7 linked regions of the Oryzias latipes genome follow. The protein of the gene in region 6 interacts with the protein of the main gene of each other region in a pairwise test. Links are inferred from orthologs where the notes say so. Each region holds a gene or a part of one and is shown on either strand. Other genes may lie near its edges.

Region 1 (3,277 bases), on a different chromosome or scaffold from region 6:
TTTTCATTTCCTTCCTCAATACAGCTTATTCTGTCACTTAATTAAAATGATAAAGAAAATGGTATTTGACATTTCATTTTCAAAAAGGTCCCTGGTAAATGTGTACCAAAATTCATTTAGAAATGTCTCATTTGACAATTAAAATGGATTAACAGAAATGCTTTTTAATTTTCAAAATGTAACTGCATTTTTTGACTCAAAATTAAAAAGAAAAAGCAATATTTCAAAATGCTTTTTCATTTTATACTTAAAACCGCTCATTCTGTGTCATAATTCAAACGAAAATGCAAAGAGGGGATTGCATTTGCATTTTAACATCCACCCCGCGCAAGTTGTCACAATATTCAATTCGAAAAAGCATTAGCAGAGGGGAGGCGGGGCGATGACGTCACTGCTTTCTCCGTGTGTCCGGCTGCTGACTGACGCACACGCACCAGGAGCAGACTGTTAGCGGCAGAGACAAGGGTTTTGTGATGGTTGTGAACTTCTGATGACTTTACACAGCTTCTCAGGACTAAGTAACTGCATGTCCGCCTTCTGCGGTCCTCCTCCTGACGCACCGCGGACAAGCTTTTGTTCTTCGGACCGCCAGCTGCCTTCGCACAGCGGAGCGCGAAGCTCCGATGATCGCTGAAGGCGGAAATGCTGCTACGATCTGAGAAACCATCATATGAATTTGTGTTTCCAGTGGTGTCCAGAACAAAATAAAGACTGATGTAATTCACAGATATTTACACCTTGATCTGCAGCTTCGCGGTGAATTTGCTGTTTGTTTTATTAAGATCCAGGAATCCAGGTTTGAGCAGGCCAGGTCCAGCGGTTTGTGAACAGGACCCGGTTTTACGTAATCTTAATATGAAAAATGCAGCAGAATGTTCCTTTAGCTCCCTCGTGAATCAGAAGCTGTGAATCGTAAGCCAACTTTAGCGTCGTCTGACCGCACGGATTTAAAAACATAATCGAGCAGAGCAGGCCGTAAAATATTAGCATAACTGTTATAAAAGCACATTATGAAGATAGTCTCCTGCAGCTTCGCGCTGAGTGAGTGTTTTTGGTCCAACCAGCAACGTTTAGCATCGAGAAATCTGCTGTCTGATGATGGAGCTCCAGGTGTCATCAAACAGTAAATTCACCGCGAAGCTGCAGATCAAGGTGTAAATATCTGTGAATTACATCAGTCTTTATTTTGTTCTGGACACCACTGGAAACACAAATTCATATGATGGTTTCTCAGATCGTAGCAGCATTTCCGCCTTCAGCGATCATCGGAGCTTCGCGCTCCGCTGTGCGAAGGCAGCTGGCGGTCCGAAGAACAAAAGCTTGTCCGCGGTGCGTCAGGAGGAGGACCGCAGAAGGCGGACATGCAGTTACTTAGTCCTGAGAAGCTGTGGAAACTCATCAGAAGTTCACAACCATCACAAAACCCTTGTCTCTGCCGCTAACAGTCTGCTCCTGGTGCGTGTGCGTCAGTCAGCAGCCGGACACACGGAGAAAGCAGTGACGTCATCGCCCCGCCTCCCCTCTGCTAATGCTTTTTCGAATTGAATATTGTGACAACTTGCGCGGGGTGGATGTTAAAATGCAAATGCAATCCCCTCTTTGCATTTTCGTTTGAATTATGACACAGAATAAGCGGTTTTAAGTATAAAATGAAAAAGCATTTTGAAATATTGCTTTTTCTTTTTAATTTTGAGTCAAAAAATGCAGTTACATTTTGAAAATTAAAAAGCATTTCTGTTAATCCATTTTAATTGTCAAATGAGACATTTCTAAATGAATTTTGGTACACATTTACCAGGGACCTTTTTGAAAATGAAATGTCAAATACCATTTTCATTTTAATTTTAATTAAGTGACAGAATAAGCTGTGTTGAGGAAGGAAATGAAAAAGCATTTTGGTGGATTGCTTTTTCATTATATTTTTGAGTCAAAAAATGCAGCTTCATTTTGAAAATGAAAAAGCATTTCTGGTTTTGACTTTGCTTTTTATTTATGCTACATAATCGCTTCCATACACAGTAGGTTGCCCGCAGGAAATATCAAAGTTGCAGACCGTGAAACCATAGGGTAAAACCGTTCAGGCACAACTTTTCTACAGGCCCGCTGTGGGCAACAAGTCAGAGCGAACACTTCTACAACATAAGAGTAAATTAGGTGAGATGCCAGCCTTTTTTCCAACCCCATGAATCCTGTGCACTGCACAAGGAGCCCGTTAGTGCTGTTCAAGTGATTAGTGTGCACTTGTGTTAGAAATGAGGAAATTAGACAACCAGATACAGATTTGCCCCATTTTTTTCCTTCTAGGGAGTCTGTATCCACTGGTAAGGGCAGTTGTGACTAAGGCTTTAGTTTTTGTGATAAAATCAAATCGACCATCTCTGATTCTCATGGAAATAAAATATCGATATTAAAGAAATTGTATTTTCAGTTACATAAAACAATACTCTTCAATGCTTTTATTGTTCAAGGTGACGCTAAATTAGGAGTCCTAGATTAAATGGTAGAATGCAAATAAGCCACACACGGCATAAAGGGCTTACGCAAGATTAAAGAATGCGTTTCTCCTGAGAAATACACATTTTCTCGTAAATTTCATTGTTTTACTCATATGTTGTTGTATGTGAGCTAAAATGTTGAGTGTGATGAAAGGATTAGGATTTTCTGATTGTTTAAAACCTAATCAGAAACAATCAACCAAAACTATTTAAATAGGACCTTTTATGCAAACAAAAATAAATCTTTTCAAGGACACAAACACAATGAATAGAAACCGAATTAGGATAGGAAGAACAATGAACGTCTCAAACCTTTAGTTGAAGGTCTTCAGCTGCACCCTCTTTAAAGGAGAAATTGGAAATCTGGAAACTTCCATTAAAATACTGAGGAACTGTAAACAAAGAGCTGTCATATATGTCATCTTTGTCCACGTATGTCGCTGTTGGGAGAAAAAAAAAAGTTGGGTTAAAGCTTTAAATGTCTTACTACAAAAAGCAATTTGATAAATCAGCACTGTAACAAAGTAAAAGCACATACACATCCAGAACATTGGTTATTTTTATTCCAGGGTGGTACTGCCAAACAAAAAGTCCTGGAATATCATGGTTTATAGTGGACACACCTTATTTTCAACAGTTAAAATAAATACCGTGCAGCTCAACTAGTTTTCTTTTCTTTTCAGACTCAAGTAGAAGAAGTATTTAACTATTAAATGACTGGCATCTTCCCTACTAAACTGATTATGTTAACCCACTAACTACCTGCTGAGCTAAATGGTAAA
Region 2 (3,500 bases), on a different chromosome or scaffold from region 6:
TGCTACCTCTACTCTGGACAGTTCCACATCAACCAGCTATTCTCTGCACCACAATTAGAACACAGCAACTCCACCAGGACTCCGGGAATGTCCAAGCCATGGGGGACATCAAGCAGCTGCAAATGCATGCAAGGCTGTGTTACCTTCCACGAAGAAGACTTCCTGAGGTTTACAAAAATGCATGTGATCTGAATGAGTGTGAATGTGTTTCCTTCAGGTGTGGAGCTCTGCAGAACATCACTATGGTGAGGCAGAGCTGCGTCCTTGGGCTCTATTTCCCTGGAGAAATCAAGGCAGGGGTCTGGCCAGAATGAAGAGGGACTGGATCATCCCTCCAATCAGAGTGTTGGAGAACAGCAAGCAAGTCCCTGAAGATCTTGTTCAGGTAAAAAAAAAAACATTGAGTTATTGCAAAAGCTATCTACATATATCTCAGTTAAAGAAGAAAATGTTGTGCTATTTTCCCTCACGTATTAGCTTGACGGAATTTTTATAGTTTGCTTGATGTAAACATAATTAAAATGAATGTGAATTGTCTTGTGGTTGTGTTAACTCAATATTGTTGGATTGTATTTTATTGGGTGCTGCACAGTGGTGTAGTGGTTAGCACTCTTGCTTCAAAGCAAGAAGATCCTGGTTCAAATCCCTGTTGGGTCCTTTCTGTGTGGAGTTTGCACACAAAAAAGTTCTCCTCGTGCTTGTGTGAGTTTTCCCCAAAAGTCCAAAAATATGCTTCAAATGTTAATTAAAGATTTTAAATTAAAGTGTCCCTAGCTGTGACCGTAAATGTGTGTGTTGTAAGCCCTACAACAAACTGAAAACTCTTCCTGGATATCCCCCACCTTGCCTAACAGTAGCTTGGATAGGGTCCAGCAACCCCATGCCCCTAAAAGGGTTAAAGTGGGTTTGGAAAATGGGTGAATAGATGTAAAAACACTCACTGCTTTTATTTTGAAAAACCTAAGAATAAATGTTCTAAAAAAAACGAAGCATTGCTTAAAAGTTTAGACCACATAGTTTTCAAAAAATATCAATTGTTCCCAAAAAATAACACTGGCTGCTAACACAATTTGATAGTTTTATTTAAGATTTGAGTGTTGGTTGCAACTTTCTGGAGTTGCACTTTTTACATCTGCTGATCCATCAACATAGCAAAGACAAAGCAAAAAAAATGCATAAAATGACTCTTTGTTATTCTTAGTTTTGCATCGCAGAGGCCTCTCTGAGTTCAAACACTCTCATCTCCAGGTTTATGTTCCACATCTGGCATTGAAGAAAAGGCATTGCAATATTCCTCCATACCTTCCCAAGAGCAGTCACCATCTTTTTTTTCCTCCTACCCAGATCAAATCAGACAAAATCTTCTTGGGTGAGGTGATCTACAAGTTGGAGGGTCCGGGAGTCGACCAGGAGCCCAAAAACCTGTTTGAGATTGATGACAAAATAGGAGTAATCAGGAGCAAGCAGCCACTGGACAGAGAGAAGCACAGCAGTTTCACGGTAAGACATCATTAAAGAGCAATCAGGGAGGGGTTTATTACAACAAGCTGCAGTGCACAGTAAGACCTCTCACATGTTTTAAAGCAAATGTTTCTGTTCTGCATCGTATATCACCGTGTCAGACACAGTACAAACAGCCAAGGGGCAATTTCTCAAGGATTTTATAGGCATCTTGGGGGATAGTTCTTCCAAATGTGTCACGGATGAATGACCAGCACTTTTCTTTCTGCCAGCATGTGTTGTGGTCGTCAACCACATTCACCTTGAATCAAATTGAGTAAACTGTTTAGTTCACCTTTGTTTAACTAAATTAACAACCCACTAAGAGGACAAACTTTTTGACGTTGGCGACTTTGATCTGCAAAATCATCTAATGATTTTTTTTCTTTTTCTTATGTATATTTGTGTGTAGCTTAAAGCCTTTGCACTGTCTCCCAGCGGGGAGAGGCTGGAGAACCCCACAACCATTGAGATTGTGGTTCTGGATCAGAATGACAACAAACCCATTTTCACTCGGAGGCAGTTTGTTGGCTCCGTCTCTGAGTTCGCTGTTCCAGGTACGGCTCCATACAGGCCTAAAAAACATCCTCACATGAGCTGAAAAACATCCCACTGTATATCATCATTAACACGTCCCTATTTTTATTTTTGTTTATTTTTATGACAATACCATGAGTGGTTATAAGACTCCTTTTTATTTTTTTTCGATAGTTTACTGTGTTACTTGTCCTTTTTATAAATCAGAAACAAATGTTGTACCTTTTCTGCCTCAGTAATAACAAGAACAACAGATACCACGACAGGGAAATTCCCTTCACAACACTTTCTGGTCTATTAAAAATCAATTAGTTTAGCTACTATTTGATTTACAGTTACCCGGTATTCAGACTGGGTTTCCAAATTTCCAAAATACAAAACATAAAATAGTACTCATTTGTTTGAAGGAAAGACGGAGGTTTTGGGATTTGCCAACAGATTTTCACTTAAATATCCATAGACCACCAAATCTAAAAAGGTTTGGGGAATCTTGGGAAATTTAAACCAAATACCATGTTAATTTGAGAACTCAAGTCTAATTTACTGAAGTAAGTTTTGTAAAAGATTGCGCACCCTAGGGGTAGTTTTTTTGCCCCATACTTCCACTTTTACTTGAGTTGATTCATGTTTGAAAAAAAAATCAAGTACAATAATGTGTAAATTATTCATGTTGGCTTGAAAATATATTAAGTAAAAAAACAAGACTTTGTGTTATTTATTCATTTCAACAATGATGTTTAAAATCCAGTAAATAGTTTGTTTAAATGCTTGAAAGTATCTTAAAATTGATAAATATTCCAAAATCCTGCACCCTTTTATTTATTCTATGTATAAGGGAAAGCCTTGTTGGTACCAAAAATGCTTTACGGAATAATCATTCTTATTCACATTGTCAAATTTCTGCTTTATTGTCTGCAATTGACAGAATTTGCACATTAGTTTTACCTTGTTTATTGGCAGAGTTCGTATGTATAATTTAGACTATAAATTAAATATGTTGAAACTGTTACTTAGTTCTTGAGAACTGTTTCCAGCAGTTACTCTTTACTTGTAATCAAATACATTTATTACAAATACATTTTAAATACATTCTGTGACAGGGACGTCGGTGATGTCAGTGTCAGCCACAGATGCTGACGACCCATTGACAGATAATGCTGCACTGAGTTACTCTATAATTGGTCAGGAGAGCATTCCCGCCAATGCTGTCACCAAAACTATGTTTGGGATTAATAATGAGACTGGCACCATCTACACAAGAGATGTAGGTCTGGACAGAGAGGTAAGTGAGGATACAGATTTTTGCAGATCCCTTCAATGGGGTTCTTCTGGCTGAAGTATGCTGCTCTCTATTCTAGGTGGTAAAGGGTTTCAGGTTAAAGCTTCAGGTCGCTGATATGGGGGGCATGGGATTAACCACCGAAGGGGAAGCATTTATTAATGTGTCGGACATCAACAACCAT
Region 3 (3,997 bases), on a different chromosome or scaffold from region 6:
TGCAATCTAGCCTCATGTCCTTGAAGATCGACCGATCAAAGAGCAGCCAAAGAGCCAATCATAACAGATACCCAGCCCTAAGTCGCTCCAGCTCCCCCCCAAAAAAACACCTTACACACCACTAAAGCTCTAAATGGCCCTACAGTGGGAGCAATAAGGAGGAGCCGGCGGGGTTGGGGAAGAATCCGGCCTTTTTTCGTGACAAATCAGAGCAAAAAACAAAAGTTCTGCATTTATATTTTGTTCAGTGTATACAGTATCCACCAACAGAGAAGTGGAGAGGACGTGATGGTTACACATAAACGGACGGAGCTCCTCACCGGGTTAACAGAAAACGATAACAACTTTCATAAAGGAAAACAGGACAAAACCAGGAAGTAAAGTCCTCATTGTCCTGTTCTAGTGATGATTTGAATGTTGTGAGCTGAGTCTCTGCTAACTTCACTCATGTCTGCTACTCAGTGATGGAGACTCCGTTAACAAAACCTCATCAGGACAAAGACTGAGACAGATGGGGGGATGGGGGGGGGGGGCAAAACAATAAGCAAGGTGGTTAAATTCATGCAGGACATAAGATTCAGACAGGGACGAGGATCATAGACAAAAAAAGAAGTAGCGCCTTAAATTATTAAAATATGTTACAGTCTTTATGAAATTCAAAGTGAAAGATGCTAATCTATGATACCAGCAGGAAAAGAAACAGCATTTCTGCAGAAAAACATCAACTGTGAAGGACGAGGCTACAGGGACCAGAATGAGATCACCTGATCACCGTGCAGCACAGGGAACTGCTGAAGTACCTGACTGAGTAGGTGAGCCCAACCCCGAATTCAAACTACAAAAAACCAAAACCTAAACTTTCCTGAACGAACGAACAGCTGGAGAGGAGCTGCGGGTTTTGTGAAGGAGACCCCTCTCCAAACCTCTGCGAACCTTTAACTGGGTCATGACAGATGCAGAATCAGCCTGTCTGAACCCACAGAAGCTCCAGCCAACCGGACCACAGAGACCAGTGAGTCTGAGTGATGGTCCGGATCCTCTCCTGACCTTCATTGATGAATGAGCGCGGAACTGCGGACGAGGAGCGTTTGTCAAATTGAATTCGGGAGGTGGTGGGGGTGATGCGGTGACACCCGTGTTCGTGACCTGCCCGTCATGTCCGCAGGAGGGGGTTGGGGGCTGCTGACGCCAGCAGGTAGCGGCGGGGTCGCCCATAAAAGCCGGCCGGTGCGCGCGGAGCGTCCAAACCAGTTACCAGAGCGCACAGATTCTGCTGCAGCCATCTCTCCCGCTGAAAAGGTAAGGCGCTGCAGGCTGGCCGCTCCGCTCACTCACCCGCAGCCTGGCTCCAGCTCATCCGCTTCTTCTTGCGCTCCCCAGATGCACAAGTGCTTGGGGATCCTCTGCGCGTCGCTCATCTTCTGCGCGGCGCTGTCGGAGAGCATCGGGCTGGTTATCGCGGTAAGCAGCGCGCGCGCGTCACTCAGGGTCCCGGACGGAACCGGCAGGGTGTGGAAATGAAAGAAAGGGGCCAAAGACTGAGCAGAACAAGAGAAGATCAGGGAACATGCCAGCCTCTTAATAGTTTAGATGTGGTCAGTTAAAAAATGGAGAAAATTCATACAAAAAATATGTGAAAAAAAAAACAACAACTAAGGAACGTTAAAGAAAAGGAAGTGACTTCCTTCACCTCATTTCTAAGATACGTGAGGTGAGGCCGGGGCAGAACTGGAGTCTTTTGATGCTGAACGTGACTTTGTGGGTAAATGTTGGCTGTGCCACCTGGTGGCCTTTCCTGCTTTAATGACCTCTTCCAAAACGCGCATCCAACAACGCTTAACCTGAAAATCCGAGCGCATGCGCATGTTGGCCGCACAACAGGAATTTTCTTCACTTTTTGTGCTTGGTCGCACTTAAATACGTGAAAAAGATCCCCTGAAAGAACAGCTAGAGAGCAAAGGAGAACATTGCTCCAAACACACAGAAAGTTTGTTTTCCTTCTTCAGAACTAGAGATGGATTTATGGAATTTACTGTACTTTTTTTGTTTGGAACATTTCTTCCATAACTTCCTATTTTATTTGATGATTGTGTCCAATGACTGAATGGTTTCAATGAACATTACAAGATTGATTGATTGATTTCAAGCATTGTAGTCAAAGCAATAAAGATTTTACACAGATTTATGAAACTCATTACAGAAATGATGAAATGCATAGATAAAAAAAGAAAATAAAACAGAAAAAAAGACACATAAGTCACATTTGCTTAATTAAATACAGTGATCATTAACTAAAGTATAAGTAGAGCTTGATTTACTGCTTGAAAAGGAGCGGAGGAAGTGATCTTATGTAATCCCACCCCTACTGAGTTAATTCATTTTATAGTTTTAGTAATCTGGTTCTGATCCGATAGATTCTTTTGAAGTTACTAAATCCAGTTCTAATTAATGATTGATTATCTACAGAAAACGTTCATTCATGATTTCAGAAAACAGTAACGATAATCGTTATGTAATAATAATTGATTATCATTAGAACACATTAAACCAGTAATTATTGCTACACATGCAGATCAATAAAGAAAATCAATAGTTATTGATTGTAATTCAGACATCTCAGTAATCATTATTGCACATTAATACTCATTGGTTGTAATTAAAAGAACTTTGATTTTTTCACCACAATCAGGTTGACAAAAGTATTTGGAATTATTTAAACACCTGTTGATCCTTTACTCCTCTTATCTTTATATCATGAAGTTAACACATAAAAATGCATAAAACAATTCCTTTTTTTAGAATACCGAACTAAATTACATCAATTTAAGTTAGCCTCAATGAAATACATCATTCAATATATACCTATGTTTTAAAGGTTTTAAAGGCTGGCGCCAGTGTTAGTCATCGGAGCTGCCATCAGTGAGTGAATGGGACTGCCATATAAGTATACGCCATTTACCATTTAAAATGTATTTTCCAAATGATTTAAAGGTTTTTTTCTAGCTAACTTTTCTGAAGATGTTTTAAAGCACCAGTTACACATCCTGATGGTTATGTTACTTTATAAGGTCCATCTGTGAACACATGAAGGTCTGTCACTGACAATCAGACCTGCAGCTAAGTAAAGGTGGGTGAGACCACAAAGAGTTAAAAAGAAGCCGCAAAAACTTAAATCAACTCAAATACTATACATTTGTAGTTTGACACAAAGTGAAATTAAATATAGCATAAAAATGAAAAATGATAAAAATAAAGATGATTTCACTGAGAGTTGATTTTACAACGGCTTCAAGAGGGACTTTCCCCCAATAGAACTGGGTGGGAATGCTAATAAATGTCCCCCCCCTTCACCTACAGAGACCTTCAGGAGTTCTTTTGGGTCACGACCAGAGTGCAGGTGAATTTCACACCTCATGAACCAGGAGGACCATCAGAGGAAACTGGCTCTGGTTGAAGTAAAGCCGTCAGTGTGAATGCTCCAGGGGGGTTTGGCTTTAGCTAATCTGCTGAAAGGAAAAACAAGCTCAAATGGAAAGAATCAGGAAAATGTCGGGAGGAAGCAACGGTGATGGCTTCTCTCCCTGCTCTGACTGAACTCACTCCTGTGAGGCTGACTTTCAGCGTTTGGATGCTGATGATTGAAGAAGAACAGCTGCTTCTTACTGATGAACTTACTTTCATTATGAAACTGAAGCAAGTTGCAGAAGACGTGCGACAGCCTCGTTTGCTAAAAGAAGCCATGTGTTTGTTTATGCTGACCATCATCCAGACCCACCCGCCACACTCGGACACCAGCTTCAGATCAAACAAAGCTCACAATCACCCTCTGTTTCAGGATGAAGACATTTCTCTTCTAAACCACAACTGCTCTGCTGCAGAACTGAGAGTGATGCTGCTGGGAGAAAAGCCGTCCTTTTGATTAGCTTCAGATTCTGCAAATAATCCAGATTACTTGAATAATTGGTTAATTAAATCATGGACCATTTAACCACCAGAG
Region 4 (3,500 bases), on a different chromosome or scaffold from region 6:
GATTTTTACACACAGATGCAGATTTTTCATGCACAAGTATTCAGATTCTATATTACAAGTTCTCAAATCAAATCTACAAGTGCGTTCTTTTTGACACATTTTTACCTTCATAAATTTGGTGTTAAATACTATTTAAATGTACAGTAATTTCAAACAAGTTCTTAGAGGGCAAACAAAGACTGCAGTTTTAAGACCTCTATAATGTGTCTTTTTGTTTTTGTTTTTTTTGTTTCAGAGCCCTATGCCAGTCGTGTGTCTATTTATGGTCAGGCTAATATGAGACTTTCCAAAGTGACCCGTACCGATAATGGCACATATAAATGTGAGGTGTCCGGCAACCAACAGTTTGGGGAAATCTCTGTTTCGCTGACTGTTCTGGGTAAGAAGTGGCTTCAACACATTTGGAAACATTTGTGGACAGATGTGTGGAAGCACAACCATAAAGCCAAAACCCTACTTCTGGTGCGAAAGCTGATGTTTTCATGTGGTGCAAATGAAATTGACATCATGTCTTGCAGTGCCCCCTTCTGTGCCCATGTGTAAAATCCCAACATCTGTGACGACCGGTAAGGCGGCCATATTGTTCTGTCACGATCCGGTTGGGTCCCCAGCTCCTACGTATCAGTGGTACAAAGACAAAACCCTTCTTCCTGCTGACCCCACCAAGAATTCTAACTTTAGGAACGCCACCTATAGGCTTGATCAAGCAAAGGGCACACTGGTTAGCTACAGCTAATTGAGTTTCATCATTCATTTTACAGCACCTTTTTATTATGAGTATGTTAAATGTCATCCTTGTTCTTCAGGAATTTCTCCGAGCTTCCCTGACAGATGCCGGTGAATATTACTGTGAGGCTACCAACAGCGCTGGTCCTGCACAAAGTTGTCGGGCTGTGAAAATGGAAGTTCGTAAGTACACAAAGAAGAAAATCTGTTTTTTCTTTTCTTTGGTTATGTATAGAGAAGCAATGAAGACTGCAAGAATAACAACATACTTAACAGTGCTTCTGTGATTTCTTTGAATAAAAATGTGTCATTTTTCTTTTTTCAAGGTGACTTGAACACTGGAGGTATTGTTGCAGGAGTGCTAGTGGCCCTGCTGCTTTTGGTGTTGCTGATAGTTGCTGTTTGGTTTGCCAAAAAGAAAGGATATCTGGATAGTAAGTTCCATGCATTTTCTCTGAATACATTTTAACATGTCAGTTTTCGTAGTTTACATATTAAGTTGATACTTTTAAAGACCCACTCCGATGAAAATTGGAATTTTGGTGTTTGTTCTTGTGGCCTTCTACTCATGATGGAGGACATACACAAAGAAAAATTTGGAGTATTTTTTCATTCAGATCATTGTGAAACGGGAGCAGACTAGGGTTGGGCGATGTCCCTTAAATTGGCCGTTGACGATGTTTGCTGTCAACCATCGGGATGGACGATGACATGGTCGGGGGGGGGGGGGGGGGGGGGGGGGTATTTTTACATTTTTCGTTCTTATGTAACTGCTATTCTTTTTTTTGCTTTTTTCATTTTATTTCCCAATCCGCGATGATCCAGTATAAACTGAGGGAAGTGACTTTAACAAAAAAAGTAACAAACAAAATAGAAGAGAAGTAGTCCGCTCCCGCACTACCGGGGGAGTGCGGACTTACAGCTTTGTGTTTGATGGGAAGGGGGGGGGGGGGGGGGGACATGAGCGGTATGTGTGGGAGATTTAAGACTGCGATCCGTCCCGCAGCTCTAGGGGTACAAGCAACCGAACTCAGAACCGGGTCTAAAAGTGTGTGTCTGTGCACAGCTCGGATCGTCAGCACACACAGCGGTTTGAGCTTCAAAGCAGAAATGTCGCTCAGTCCTTAGAAAACATTCAAACAATCACGTGGATTTGTGTTTCCAGTCGTGTCCCGACTAAATAAAGGCTGATGTTATTCTTACATGTTTACGTGCAGCCAGCAAGCAGCACCATCCAAAGCTAATGTTGTTAGCCCGTGTTAGCATACTGCTAATCCTGGCTTCGTTCAGAAAAAGCACTGACCACACGGATTAAAATTCAAATGATGAGCGAACAGGTGTTTCATAATAACCGTAACATTATTAAAAGCACGTTTAGAAGATCATCTCGTATTTTACCGAGCTGACATGTCAATGTATATAGCCGCTCGGCGCTATTTAACATTGTTTTGTATTGAATTGTTACATACAATAAAGTTTGGAGAAAAAAAAAAAGCCGCTCGGCGGAGTTTATATCCTTCCGTTTTTCAAACCCTACTGCGCATGTGCGAATGATTTATTCCGACGGAAAGTGTGACCTTAGTGAACGTTTTTATATTCTAAAAACATTTTTCTGGAACCATGTACACGGTTGGATTCTAATCCGACCATTGATCCCATCAAGATATTTTGTACATGTAACCGCGGCTTATGGTGTCGACGCGCAACGTGGCGGGGGCGTGGCATCACGATGGTGTCTCTCCATCGGGATGTCAGTCACCCATCACGATGGACGATGATATCGTCCATCGGCACAACCCTAGAGCAGACACAAAAATGTCATTTGAAAAAGCTTGTAGTTGTGACATAGATGCAACTAGGGACCACCAGTCCCTAGTTTTAATAGCTGTTGAATTTGAATGGAGAGTTTTTGTTTTGTGAATTGATGATGCATTTCACAAAAAATAACTTTTAACAAGGTGGTTTTAAAGGTTTGAATTAGATATTTTACAATTTTTTACTATTTTACTATTCGTGTTCTCGACTGTGAAAGTCAAGCATGGGGGGAAAATCTGTACACTCTGTTTTTATTTATTTATTATTTAACAACTTTACGCTCTTTTACCATGTATGTGATGAGTGTTTGATGAATGATGAAGGATGGTATACAGTTTGTAGCTCTGTGGCCCAGAACAAATTTCCTCTCTGAGGACAATAAAGTTTACCTTTACCTTTTTACCTTTACTACCACAAACTCCCTGCTCCGCTCCATTCTGAGGCATCCACTTGCAAACAAAAAGATCCATGTACATCTTTGTTTTCTTCGTCTGAGCTGGCTTCTGGCTCAAAACTGTAGGGCTGAATAGCTCCAATATTGCTCGGCATTTTTATTGCTCCACTAATATCAGGTTGGGGGTGTAAGGGGCTGTAGGTTAGAAGGAGAGAGTGTAAACAGAGGGATGATGGGAAGGGGTGGACTCACTCTGGGCCAGCAGTCCTGCCTACAACTTGGAGGCCAATTTCTGATGAACTCCTGCTGCTAAATAATAAAATAATAACAAATAATAAAATAAATAATAATAATAATAAATAATAAAATAAATAAAAAATTCGCTAAGAATTTGCATAACTATAATTAAAACCCCACTGGGAACGCTTTCAAATATATTAAATGATAAACAGATCGGTCTTTAAGCTGTCACCTTAGTTGCCCATTGTACCACAGTCTTCATGTCACATTAAGCATGTCACATCTTAGATGGATCAAAATATGACTGTAGTTGATCTTTAATTAT
Region 5 (3,949 bases), on a different chromosome or scaffold from region 6:
ATATGATGTGGGATTTCAAAATAAAACCCAATTGAAATCTGGCATTAGGGCGTTATTGCTATATGCTTATCAGACTGAATAAACATTGAATCACCAGGTTTGATACAATAAATGAGATGTGAAATTACTTTGTGGAAACTAGGAGTTTTTCTTTTACACAAATGTCAACATTTGTGCAAGCGTGGGTTCTCTCCGGGATCTTTGGCTTCCTCCCACTGTCCAAAAACATGCTCCATAGGTCAATTGGCGACTCTAAATTGTCCCCAGGTGTGAGTGTGAATGGGTGTGTGATTGTGGCCCTGCGACAGACTGGTAAACTGTCCAGGCTGTACCCTGCCTTTATATATATATATATTTTTTTTTATATATATTGTCAGAGTATATATATATGTATATAAAATATATGGGGGGGGGGGTCGTGTGTGTAAATAGTATGTACAAATATGTAAAAAAAAAAAGGGGGCACACTGTTTTTGAGAGAGAGGTCACTTGACAGCCGTTCGATGAGAGAGGGCTGGCTTGACACCAGTAGTTGTTCGCACGTGCATTGTAATATATAAACCCAAGGAGAACAAGAGGTCACAGCTCTGCCAAAGGTGTTTGACAGGCATCTCATCCCAGACGGCAGAGGTGATAATTGGTAACACTGAGTCTTGTGTCTCTTAACTCAATTTACCATAAATCCAGTTCCTTTATCTTATAATGTAGAACTACAATACAAAATATTCCAATTTAGACCTTACAGCTAAACTCGTTTCTTTTCTGCAAAAAAAGAAAAGGTATAAAATTTATTGAAATAAAAGACGATGAATTAAAGTTTGAGAAAAAATAAAATAAAATAAAGCATATTGATCACACTGTATACTAAAATTGTGGCACAGGCCACACTTTTTCCATATAGCCAGATCGTTTGTTCTGTCCTATGTTAGATAATATTACTTTGTTTTTGTCCCCTCTAAAAAATATAATATAATATAATATAATATAATATAATATAATATAATATAATATAATATAATATAATATAATATAATATAATATAATATAATATAATATAATATAATATAATATAATATAATAATAAATCTTCCTTGTGGAGTCAAATGGTTGGAAAAAGTAGACTAAAACGTGCCAGGCAGGCACGCATGCATCTGATGAAGCTTTCGTTTCGAACATGAGAATAACCCCGAGTTGGAACTAAACCCCAAGTCAGGTCTCTCAGGCAAAAAGGAAATAAAATGTGACGTTCTCTGCCATTCTAATGAAAATAGGAAGGGAGGGGAGGAAACAATTTAATGTACACAACTTTTACTTTAAAAATAACGGTAAAACAAAGATTGTGGAGATGCGTAGCCGAGATCTTAAAACCTGGTAGTCAAAACACGGGGGTAAATATTCAGGGCGACGTCCCTGCAGCCAAAAAAAAAAGAAGAAAAACGTCACTTTCTAGAGTTGCCACGACTACACACAGCTTCATGATGTGGACGCTTGTTAGCTGCATATTGTATGTTTTCGCTTTGTCGAAGCTCGATTTGTGGGCCGTTTTGGCCACAGCAGATGAGCTTCTCAAGGAGGTCAAGACCGAAGTTGTGTCTAAACCCGAGCAGTGCACCCAGAAAAGCAAGAAAGGAGATCTGATCAACGCTCATTACGACGGGTACCTGTTGGATGGCTCCCAGTTTTACTGCAGGTACTATAAAAAAAAAATCACACCTTTCGTGTTTGTTTGCTTCCTTTCAGCTGATATAAAAACACAACAATAATAATGCATTTGTAAATAACGTGTTATGAGTGAGTTAATGATTTAATGGGCATGAAAGGTTTGGTTATTGCATCTGGCATAAGTGTCACTATATTTCTAACATTTTTTAATATCAGGAGTCCTCATATTTTTTTTAATTTGTTCTGCCACTTGTTACATTTAAAAATAAAAATCTCTTTTAGTCGGACTGACAAAGCTGGCCATCCCCAGTGGTTTGTGCTTGGTGTGGGTCAAGTCATCAAGGGCCTGGACATAGGAATGATGGACATGTGTGCCGGAGAGAAGAGAAAAATAACTGTCCCATCAGACCTGGCTTTTGGTAAAAATGGGAAAGGTAAAGCCATATATCAATTTATAGATTGCATTTTTCTTCCAAAATTCATTAAAGACCCCCTCCGAGAAAAATAAGAAAATTAAACATATAATTGCATTTCTGAGTATCTTATATTCAAATCATTGTGAATAAGGAGCAGGCAAAAAATGCATGTTTTGGAAAGGTTTGTAGTTGTTTCGTACGGACTACAATCTGCAGGGCACAAGCTCCCTGCTCCACTCTATTCCGCCATATCCACTTGCAGACAAATAGATCCGTTTATGTCGGTTTTCCTCCTCTAAACTGGCTTCTGGCTCAAAACTGTACAGCTGGATAGATGCAATATTGCTCACCATTTTTGTTGCCCCAGTAGTGTTACTTTGGGAGTGTAAGAGTTTGTAAGCTAGTGGGAGAGGGTGTAAACAAAGGCAAAGGATACTCTGCACTAACTGTCCAACTCAGAAAAATTTCGAATGAACTCCTGCCGCTTTGCAGAAATTATGTTCTAGAAAACGACACAGGTTTTTTTGATTTTAGCTAAAAACAGCATAATTAGGGGTGTAATGGATCACAAAACTGATGGTTTGAGAGTCCCGGTTCAGATCATTTCTAGGATCAGTAAAAAGAAAAAAGAAAAAAAGGAAAAAGATATAAGCCTAAAATTGTTTTTTAAAAGCTTCAAAGCATACATTTGAGAAAACATACATAAAGTACTTTAACAAAAACATATATATAAACATTAATGAGATATTTTAACTCAAGATATTCCTGTATATAAACATATACTCAAGATGCCTATATGAACAAAGTGCATTGTTGTGTATTGCAATTTGGGAAAAAAAAAGTATATTTAAAGAAAAAAAGTAAGAAGAGCAGGGGATATCAGCATTTACAAGTTTGAAATTCCTATACTGGGATCCCAGCTGCTATTAAGCCCCTCCCACTTGGAACCAACAGAGCAGTGGCTTTTTCCTGCCACTGTTCCAGGACGGTTCAGACGCTGCTGATCTGATGTGATCTCATGAACCCAGACATGGGCTGCTCATCGACGCTTTGTAGAACTCTACAAAATAAATAAAACAGATCTCTGAACGATGGCGTAATGAGGTCAAGAAAAACTTTTGACCTAGCTCCTCCCACACGCGGTTAGGGTTATAAACACACTTTTGGACACGCCTCATGCTGCAACTTTGAGGCATGTAACAAAGATGTGTACATGTATTTGACATGCGAATCACAATTAAAAGGTTTGAAAATGGATCAAAAAAGGACCAGAGGTGGACTTTAAGTTGTAGGTTTTATTCTTGTACTTTCCTAAAGCCTTTGAATGACAACTGCTTTCACGGCCTTGTTGTTCTCTTTTACAGCACTTTAACTTGAAAGGGCATTGTTTTCCTTGCAGTGTTTGCTCCTCATCTTCCAATGGCATGACCTGGAAGCATGCGCAGAGGTTGAAAGGTCTCTTATCACATCTCTTCCTTGCATGCATTGAAATTACTAACAAGGTTTTCCTCAAACCTTCTGAAGAAACATTTTTTCTGGTGTCTATGTTGCTGCCTGAACTCATTTTTTCACAATTTGTCTGTGGAAATGAGTGCAATTTTAATATGTGTATGCACTACATGCTTTAATGTTATTCATAAAATGCTAGAGGAAAACAGAGATCCAGAATCAAACATATTGTTTAACAGCTGAAAGCTCCTTTCGAACTTTTCTTTCTTGTGGATGACGATATTTTTTAAAGAAATTACATATCTAAAGGCAGTTTATACAGCTTTACAAGCCTTGTCTTGTAAAGTGGAACAGGATTTTATAATTCAAAGAATTTGTTGTTTTTGAAGTTGTGTAATTTCTTCTGTCCTCCATCTTTGGGA
Region 6 (3,500 bases):
TTAAGCTTTATTGTGTGAAGTGAGTTGTAATGCAGAGAAGGCTTTTGGTCTGTGGACCGGCCTCCTCCAGCCTCGGCTGTGATTCTTCTGCTTGATCTTTTTACCCAGCATCCTCTGGGCTGTGATGGTTACTCTGCTAAGGTTTTCTGTGGCGTTTTGAACTAAAGTGTCTTTGGTTTGATCAGAGTTCAATGTCTCTGTGTGAGCTGCCTTCTCATGGCTTTGGGTCCCTCTGCAGTTGCCGTTCAGTGTTTGGAGACGGCGTTTGACGTTTCCACGGATGACCAGAGCCTCGCCGTGCCCGTGACGTTACCAGAGATCTTCGCCAGCGCCACGGCACAGGTACTCGGTCTTTATTGCTGACACTTCATACTGGACTTTGGTTCATATCCAGAACTTGTTTTTAAGTCAGGGCACATATTTCATATGGTGCTTTCTATGTGTAATTGCTCCTGTTGCTTTTCTGTGACCAGAAAGTTATTTCTATTAAATCCCAGAATTAAAAAACCAAATAAATAAAAGTTGACTATTTATCCCACAATGGGGACGTTTGTTCTCCACATTTGACCCATCCCCTGTGGGGGCGGTGAGTAGCAGACACAGGGGATGGGTCAAATGGTGGTTTAACTCCCCAATCCAACCCCTTAATGCTGAGTGTCACGCAGGGAGGCATTGGTGAGCCTGGGTTTGAACTCATGAACGTTCAGTTACAGGGCTGACACTCTAACCACAAGGCCACTGAGCTGGTCCAAGGGCCCTCACTGGGTGATGTTAATTGCTCACAATTAACATTTGCCCCATTAACATTGCTTGACATAATTGTTCATTCCCCCCCCCCCAGGAATCGAACTGGTTTCCTGCATGCCAGTTGTTCACCTTACCAACCGAGCTACCCAGCCAAATAAGATGCCCAGTTTCTAAAAGTCCCACTCTGGTTATCTTTATTTATCTCTATTTGGTTTTAACCCAAATCAGAAAAACCTGTCGTTTTCTAGGACATAGTTTCTGCAGAGCAGCAGGACTTAAGCTGTGGGTTGGTCCGTTGCTGCAGAGAGAGTGGCGCTTTGTTTACACTCTCTCCCACTAGCTTACAGCCCCTCACTCCCCCAACTTAACAGTAGCGGTGCAACATAAATGGCGAGCAATATTGGAGCTATCCAGCTTTTGATCCAGACTCCAGCTTAGACGAGGAAAACAAAGACGGACGTGGATCCATTTGTCTCTAAGTGGAGCGGCGCAGGGAGCTTGTGGCCCGCTCAGAGTATTATCTACACCACAAAACATCTCTTTTTCAAATGGCTTTTTTTTATTTGTCTGCTCCTGATTCACAAGGATTTGAATAGGAAATGCAATTTGAAGCCTAATTTTCTTGATTATCCTCAGAAACATGCTACACGAACATTTTGAAATCACCAAAAACATTTTTATTTTTTTTATCAGTGTGGGTCTTTGAAGGCAAACCACACATTTCTGTCCCGAGCTTCTGCATTAAAGAATGAGTTGTTTTCTATAGTCTCTGCTATTTGTTTCCGCTGAGACTTTCAGATGATCAGCTTTTGGTGTGAATACCAGCCGGTAGCAGTTTATTGCTGATCCCTAATCTAAAAATGTTCTTTCTGTCCTCATTCTTGCGTGTATCCTGGATATTAATAATTTGTTCCGTAACCTTCTTGAACACTCCCAGTTCTGAGCCCAAAGGATCTTTGTTGGTGACTGAGCGTCGGAATCACTGCTGTGCTTCAGAAAGTTTGGACTGCTGAAATCTCCACAGTGACATGTTGTCTGACGGGACGTGGTGTCTGCTTCCTCTGACAGTTTCCGGCTCAGTCCCAGGTAAACAACAATTCCAGGACCAGCTCCCCGACGGAGGAGCAGAGGGCGGAGGCCGAGCGGCTGAAAAGTGACGGTGAGTTTAGAGATCCTCCCGTCATTTGGGCTCAGACTGCATAGATGTGAACAGCTGATCAGCTGATCAGCTGCAGCCCAGTCAACCTTCAGAAACCTCAGTGTTTTAGCTCAAGTTCCTGAACTACAGCCAACAAAGAAGGAGCACAAAAAGATTGAAAAATGCACAAACATACATTTAAAAGCTGGACTCAGGCATCCATAGAACAGAATAAACTAAGAAAAAAAAAAGAATTCAACCACTTAACAGATGATCAGACCAGCAAACACAGTACTGTCTAAACGTTTCACATGGACGGACAGATTTAGTGAGATGAACAGGACTTTTAAGTATCAATATTTAATGTAAATATTATCTTGATCAGGCTGCACCTTCCCTTACAGCAAGAAGGTCCCTGGTTCAAGTCCCGGCTGGGGGACCAGAGACAGAACATCCATGAGGGGCCTTTCTGTGTAGAGTTTGCATGTTCTCCCTGTGGATGCGTGGGTTTTCTCCGGGGACTGCGGCTTCCTCCCAACGTCCAGAAACGTGCTTCATAGGTTCATTGGTTACTCTAGATCAGGGGTGGGCAATTCCAGGCCTCGAGGGCCGGTGTGTCTGCATGATTTCCAGATAGTCTTGCCCTACTCATGGCTGATTACATGGTTCAGGTGTGTCCAGCCAAAGCAGGGTATGCTGGAAAACATGCAGGAATGCGGCCCTCAGTGCCCACCTCTGCTCTAGATTGTCCTTGGGTGTGAATGTGAGAGTGCATGTGTGTGTGATTGTGGCCCTGCAACAAATGTTGACCTGTTCAGGGTGCCCCCTGCTTTCGCCCGCAAGGGGCCGGGATAGGCTCCAGCAGCCCGTGACCCCGAAAGGGACAAAACCGAATAGAAAATGAATGAACAATCATTTTAATGTCTTTATATAGAAAATGGTTTCATGAATTGCTTGTTCTTGTAAAAGTTTCCGATCATGGTTTGAGACCCGCGTCTTTCTGCTCTGACATTAAAGCGAAGTTCAGAAACCGTCCACCTGATTGTCTCAGGAAGATCAGCAGAATCCCGTCTGCTCATTTCCATCCTTTTCTGCTGCTTCTAACACGAATGGTGAGCTCATCCCAATGCAGGACTGCTCCAGACGTCATAACGTTCAATCTCCTGCAGGAAATGACCAAATGAAGGTGGAGAACTTTGCCGCCGCCGTGGAGTTTTACTCGAAGGCCATCGCCCTGAACCCCCAGAACGCCGTCTACTACTGCAACAGGTGAGTGAGGCCGGATCCCCACCAACACTAGAATGAAAGAAGTTCACTAGGCTCACGAAGAACCCCGTCCAGACCTGAAGGAGGTTGTTTCTCCCTGCAGGGCGGCAGCGTTCAGCAAACTGGGGAACTATGCCGGCGCCGTGCAGGACTGTGAGCAGGCCATCGGCATCGACCCCAACTACAGCAAAGCTTATGGGCGGATGGGGTGAGACTGCAGACCCATCAATATTTTAGTCAACTACAGTGTTCCCTCGCTGTATGGCGGTTCACCAGCGGTTTCTCCGATTCTTTTCAGAGCAAGTTAACATGTTTGTTTTTAAACAGTGCTAGGATTGTCAATCAATCT
Region 7 (4,108 bases), on a different chromosome or scaffold from region 6:
TCTCATTGTCATACAAACTGTACAGTGGATCTGATAAAACTACGAACCTTTTTGAAGTCTTCACTGACAAGTGTGGGGGGGATGGAAATTGCATCACTTGGCCAGAAACAAACAAGGACAGGCATTTGACTACATCACATTTCTATTCAAACCTAAAGCAGCAATAAGACAACATTCAAAGACAAGATTCCCATCAGAAGAACCTCAGACTGGGACAACTGAAGTATAAAGTTGCAGTTATTGTGCTTTTCCACCTCCCCTCCCATCTACAGCCACGCAATAACATGCTTGTTTAAACTTGTGACCATACATGGGCAGAAGGTGCTCTGAGTGGAGGCCAAAGCAGGAACAGTTTTTGCTTGCTTAAAACTTAGATCTATAAATGGAGTCAGTCTGGTCAACGCTTCATGCAAGCCTCGTCTCATTACACACATCTTCTCTTGGTAACAAAAAAAAAAAAAAGACATACCAAACATTCCTTAGATTTTATAATCAAATTCCTATCGTGAGCGTTTCAAAACATTATTAGCATTCAGAGTATTTTCTGTTGTGGAGTAGAGGAACATTGTTACCAATTAGATGGGAAAGGCCACATACCAGTATTGACCTTAGTGTCTGTGGGGAGAAGAAAAAGCCATGGGGGGGGGGGGGGGGGGGGGGGGGTCATAGTACAGAGGCTACGAATCCATCAAATAAAAAATGTAAACAAAAATAATCTCATACATGACAAGAAAGCATAAACAACAACAGTAAGAACACAACCAGGAGGTCATTTTAAAATAGGTAGAATAAATTAATGAGAAAGCGGGTGAAATGGCCCCAAAACCTCAGTGAAGACCACCCAGGGTCAAATTCCCACAAAAAAAAAAAAAGGATGGAAGATGATCAGCAGATACTGCCCTTTAAAAAGTGGAGTCAATGCCAGAGAGCCTTATAAGAAGATAAGAGACGAACTGTTTCAAACCTCAAGTTTCTGAAACCATAAAGGTCCTCATAAATGTGGAGGCGCAGACAGCCAAAGCGTGACCCTGGGCTCACACTGCATCCGGACCAGCACAGGTGAAGCCGCCGGAGTCTTTACGCAACTTGGTTCCAAATCCATTTAGATGGGCTAAAATTCTGGTCGGACGCCGGGGTGATCTGGAGCACTTTTTCGTGAAGTTGGGCCAAATTAAACGACCTACACCAGAATTCATGTGAGCGAATGTAAAGTGTATCCAGTCCATTCAAAACCAAACCTACTTTTCGCTGTACTTGCCATGTTTTCACCGTGGTGTAAAGACAATGTACTTTCTGCTGACAGAGTCACACCGTGTGCGGTAGAGCAACACATCGGTCATTTAACGCCATGGATGGCAAGACGCTCTTACCCCATCCTTAATTATCACCCATGATTAATCTGATTAGGACATCCCTACTACTGACAAATGGATATTTGGTGTTGATGTAAACAAACCAAGTCTCTGGCTGTGATCACTGGCACCATCTATTTGCAAGACATGAGGAAAGCTTGCGATGTGCAATAGCAGTGAGCAACATTGCGATAACAATATGACTTGGCGAAACATGAACAAATAGCAAACCAAAAAAAACTAACAAGTACATCATTTCCATTTTCACTCCACCGGTTGATGTAGACAAAAGTCAACATACCTGGAATTTTACTCAAACGGCCCGTTTGTCACAGAACCCCCAGCAACCCAAACCAATCCAAGCTTTCCTTTACTGTCAAAACAACATGATCTAGTCTACCCAGAAAGACGCTGGGACAACAGGTATGGGGGCGGGGGGGGGGGTCTACTTACTACAGCATTACAGCAAATATTTACAGTGAAAGTCAAAACCAGCAGTGAGCTTCTCAGCTGCTACAGATTTGTTGACATAAAGCATTAAAACAAACAAAAACATCTGTTGGTGACGTTTTTGTTGTTTGTGAGATGAGGCCAAAGGCCGCTGTGAGCTCATGAAGCAGATGAGGAGGAGTCCAGCATGAAAGTAGACTCGAACCCTAGTGTATCCCGGGATATAGAAGGGGGTCCACTCCCCTTAATAAAGCCCAAATAAAGAGGGGGAGGCCCCAGTGAGCGCTGCTGGGCCCAAAAAGAGTGAGCCCGTTTTAAAGCCTGTAGCCGGGGAACCAGCCTGAAGTACTTCCGGAAGGAATCACAGCCTCGCAGACGGAGCCTTTCGGGAATTTCTGGGAAGTTTCTGATAAAACACGCGGGCAAAAGTTCAACGTGTAACGTTAGGACAGCATTTCAGAAACAGTCAAACAGAAAACCGTGCAGGAGCGCGCGGGAGGTGCCTGCCTTAGCAACGATCCCAGAGCCCGGGCCCCCCCCCGTGTGGGACAAAACAAGGCAGCAGGGCTGCGGGGGCCTTCAGGGAGCCCCCGAGAGAGTAGCAGAACCAGCAATGGCTCACGGGAAAAACACGCACTTGTTGTAGCAAATTCCCGTCAAATGAGGTACGAAAACCGGTAAACAGGTTCACTGGGGGAAAACAAACAAACAAAAAAAAATACTTACCGACTCAGAAAGGACTGAGGCCGCCAGCACGAGCACGAGGCACAGACTGAACATGATGACGGAGCCTCCGGTGGTAAAAAAGCTCGGACGGACAGCGGCGCTTCGCCTTAAGTTACCGGGTGACCTCGCGTTTGGGGAGAAGCCCACGTGACTGTCTCTGCCGTCTCTCCCGAACTTCCCAGAAGTCCAGACGAATCAAAATTCCTCAAGATACGGGACCGACCACAGCTCCGCTCTTCCGCCTCCTGAACGTGTTTAACTTTCTCACCGGCGCGTCCGCTCCCATATATTTCAGCGGGGCTTACTCTCCGCCAATCAGGACAGCGTGACGTCAGAGGGAATTTTCCACGTTCAACAGGTTTGTCACGTTAATGGGAGTTTTTTTAGTCATAATTTAAAGTGATATGCAATTCTCAATTCAGTTTGCAAATTGTTCATGCAATTTAATAAAACAATTGGTAATTTCGAATTCAATATAAACAACTACAATTCAGTTTTTAGCTTTGATAATACAGTTTTTCTCAGTCGCTTTAGTACAATTCTCAGATCAGAATTGAAGTTTGCAAATACGTGTGTGCATTTCTCAAAACAATTTGTACAAACAGCAAAACACTATGGATTTCTTGCAAAAGCCTGTAACTTGCTCAAAATCTTTAGTGCATCTCTCAAAACTAAGTCTTTATGTCATTGAACATGTCAGTGCCATCAGAATGTCAAGTCCTTGTGTCATTGTCTACGAACAAGACAGTCAAATTACTTAGTCATGTTGTCAATATAACTGAGTACTTTAGAGTGAGGTTCTGATGGAAACTATGGCTAAAGTTTTGATGACAATTATTATAAAATGTAAGTTACACCTTTTTTGTTTGATTACAAGAGACTGGACAAGATTCACATTTACACTTTTGTTGTTCATATTGTAATTTGTTGACAGACCATGTCATACCAACATAGAAAAAACCCACTGCAAACAGTAACACAAAGGGGGAAAAAAAGATAGGACAATATTCTATCAAACAGTACAGGCAGTGCAGTAAGAATTGGTGTGGTCTTCCTACACCTCTTGTTGTTCCTGTATGTTAGGCCTCAAATTCTCATCCACATCACAGCGAATATCCTCTCTTGCAATGCAGCATGGAAAGAATCTTTTACAGTAGTGTCTTATCCAGCCTCTGCAGGCGTCTGCTGTGATGTCATCACATGCTGCATCCATGGCAGCCAGTAGGGTCATTTGTGTATGTGGCTGGCGATCATAAACTTTCCATCTCCATGGTTAGAAAAATTCCTCAATAGGGTTAAGGAATGGAGAGTAGGGTGAAATGAACTCCATCCGCATCCTGTTGTGGGCTGCAAACCATTGCCTGATGATGTTGGAGTGATGAAAACTCACATTGTCCCAAACTATCACATACGTTGGCAGGTGATGCAAACGTCACCTGAGAGCAATTAACCAATTCAGGACAGATTTAGACAAAAACATATAATGGAGATGTATAGAAATATGTTTGTCACATTATAACAACTTGGTCAACCATTTTGCAGTTAATGACTTATACGATGAACTAATGACTAGGTGTTTT

The links.
Region 1: the proteins of sgta (region 6) and c13h3orf52 interact in binary tests that used the Homo sapiens proteins (3 or more experiments, as listed by UniProt). The two-hybrid records come from large-scale screens. The link is inferred for Oryzias latipes from reciprocal best matches to the Homo sapiens genes SGTA and C3orf52.
Region 2: the proteins of sgta (region 6) and cdh15 interact in binary tests that used the Homo sapiens proteins (3 or more experiments, as listed by UniProt). The two-hybrid records come from large-scale screens. The link is inferred for Oryzias latipes from reciprocal best matches to the Homo sapiens genes SGTA and CDH15.
Region 3: the proteins of sgta (region 6) and gal interact in binary tests that used the Homo sapiens proteins (3 or more experiments, as listed by UniProt). The two-hybrid records come from large-scale screens. The link is inferred for Oryzias latipes from reciprocal best matches to the Homo sapiens genes SGTA and GAL.
Region 4: the proteins of sgta (region 6) and junctional adhesion molecule A-like interact in binary tests that used the Homo sapiens proteins (3 or more experiments, as listed by UniProt). The two-hybrid records come from large-scale screens. The link is inferred for Oryzias latipes from reciprocal best matches to the Homo sapiens genes SGTA and F11R.
Region 5: the proteins of sgta (region 6) and peptidyl-prolyl cis-trans isomerase FKBP7 interact in binary tests that used the Homo sapiens proteins (3 or more experiments, as listed by UniProt). The two-hybrid records come from large-scale screens. The link is inferred for Oryzias latipes from reciprocal best matches to the Homo sapiens genes SGTA and FKBP7.
Region 7: the proteins of sgta (region 6) and syndecan-4 interact in binary tests that used the Homo sapiens proteins (3 or more experiments, as listed by UniProt). The two-hybrid records come from large-scale screens. The link is inferred for Oryzias latipes from reciprocal best matches to the Homo sapiens genes SGTA and SDC4.

The regions. Positions count from the first base shown.
Region 1 is NC_019871.2:7,044,998-7,048,274, forward strand, and holds part of c13h3orf52 (TPA-induced transmembrane protein), read right to left. Parts: intron 2,936-3,277; coding exon 2,808-2,935; intron 1-2,807. UniProt on the Homo sapiens protein: Has a role in LIPH-mediated synthesis of 2-acyl lysophosphatidic acid (LPA). LPA is a bioactive lipid mediator involved in different biological processes, and necessary to promote hair formation and growth.
Region 2 is NC_019861.2:17,636,270-17,639,769, forward strand, and holds part of cdh15 (cadherin-15), read left to right. Parts: intron 1-217; coding exon 218-385; intron 386-1,344; coding exon 1,345-1,500; intron 1,501-1,912; coding exon 1,913-2,057; intron 2,058-3,137; coding exon 3,138-3,319; intron 3,320-3,395; coding exon 3,396-3,500. UniProt on the Homo sapiens protein: Cadherins are calcium-dependent cell adhesion proteins. They preferentially interact with themselves in a homophilic manner in connecting cells; cadherins may thus contribute to the sorting of heterogeneous cell types.
Region 3 is NC_019864.2:4,848,331-4,852,327, reverse strand, and holds the start of gal (galanin peptides), read left to right. Parts: upstream 1-1,197; 5' UTR 1,198-1,299; intron 1,300-1,380; coding exon 1,381-1,461; intron 1,462-3,997. UniProt on the Homo sapiens protein: Endocrine hormone of the central and peripheral nervous systems that binds and activates the G protein-coupled receptors GALR1, GALR2, and GALR3.
Region 4 is NC_019872.2:15,489,459-15,492,958, reverse strand, and holds part of junctional adhesion molecule A-like, read left to right. Parts: intron 1-235; coding exon 236-379; intron 380-518; coding exon 519-721; intron 722-806; coding exon 807-909; intron 910-1,052; coding exon 1,053-1,160; intron 1,161-3,500. UniProt on the Homo sapiens protein: Seems to play a role in epithelial tight junction formation. Appears early in primordial forms of cell junctions and recruits PARD3.
Region 5 is NC_019879.2:16,565,193-16,569,141, reverse strand, and holds the start of peptidyl-prolyl cis-trans isomerase FKBP7, read left to right. Parts: upstream 1-1,149; 5' UTR 1,150-1,295; coding exon 1,296-1,690; intron 1,691-1,944; coding exon 1,945-2,096; intron 2,097-3,442; coding exon of another isoform or gene 3,443-3,533; intron 3,534-3,949. UniProt on the Homo sapiens protein: PPIases accelerate the folding of proteins during protein synthesis.
Region 6 is NC_019862.2:5,204,953-5,208,452, forward strand, and holds part of sgta (small glutamine-rich tetratricopeptide repeat-containing protein alpha), read left to right. Parts: intron 1-238; coding exon 239-342; intron 343-1,815; coding exon 1,816-1,906; intron 1,907-3,054; coding exon 3,055-3,154; intron 3,155-3,254; coding exon 3,255-3,359; intron 3,360-3,500. UniProt on the Homo sapiens protein: Co-chaperone that binds misfolded and hydrophobic patches-containing client proteins in the cytosol. Mediates their targeting to the endoplasmic reticulum but also regulates their sorting to the proteasome when targeting fails.
Region 7 is NC_019863.2:6,148,141-6,152,248, reverse strand, and holds the start of syndecan-4, read right to left. Parts: upstream 2,801-4,108; 5' UTR 2,583-2,800; coding exon 2,529-2,582; intron 1-2,528. UniProt on the Homo sapiens protein: Cell surface proteoglycan which regulates exosome biogenesis in concert with SDCBP and PDCD6IP.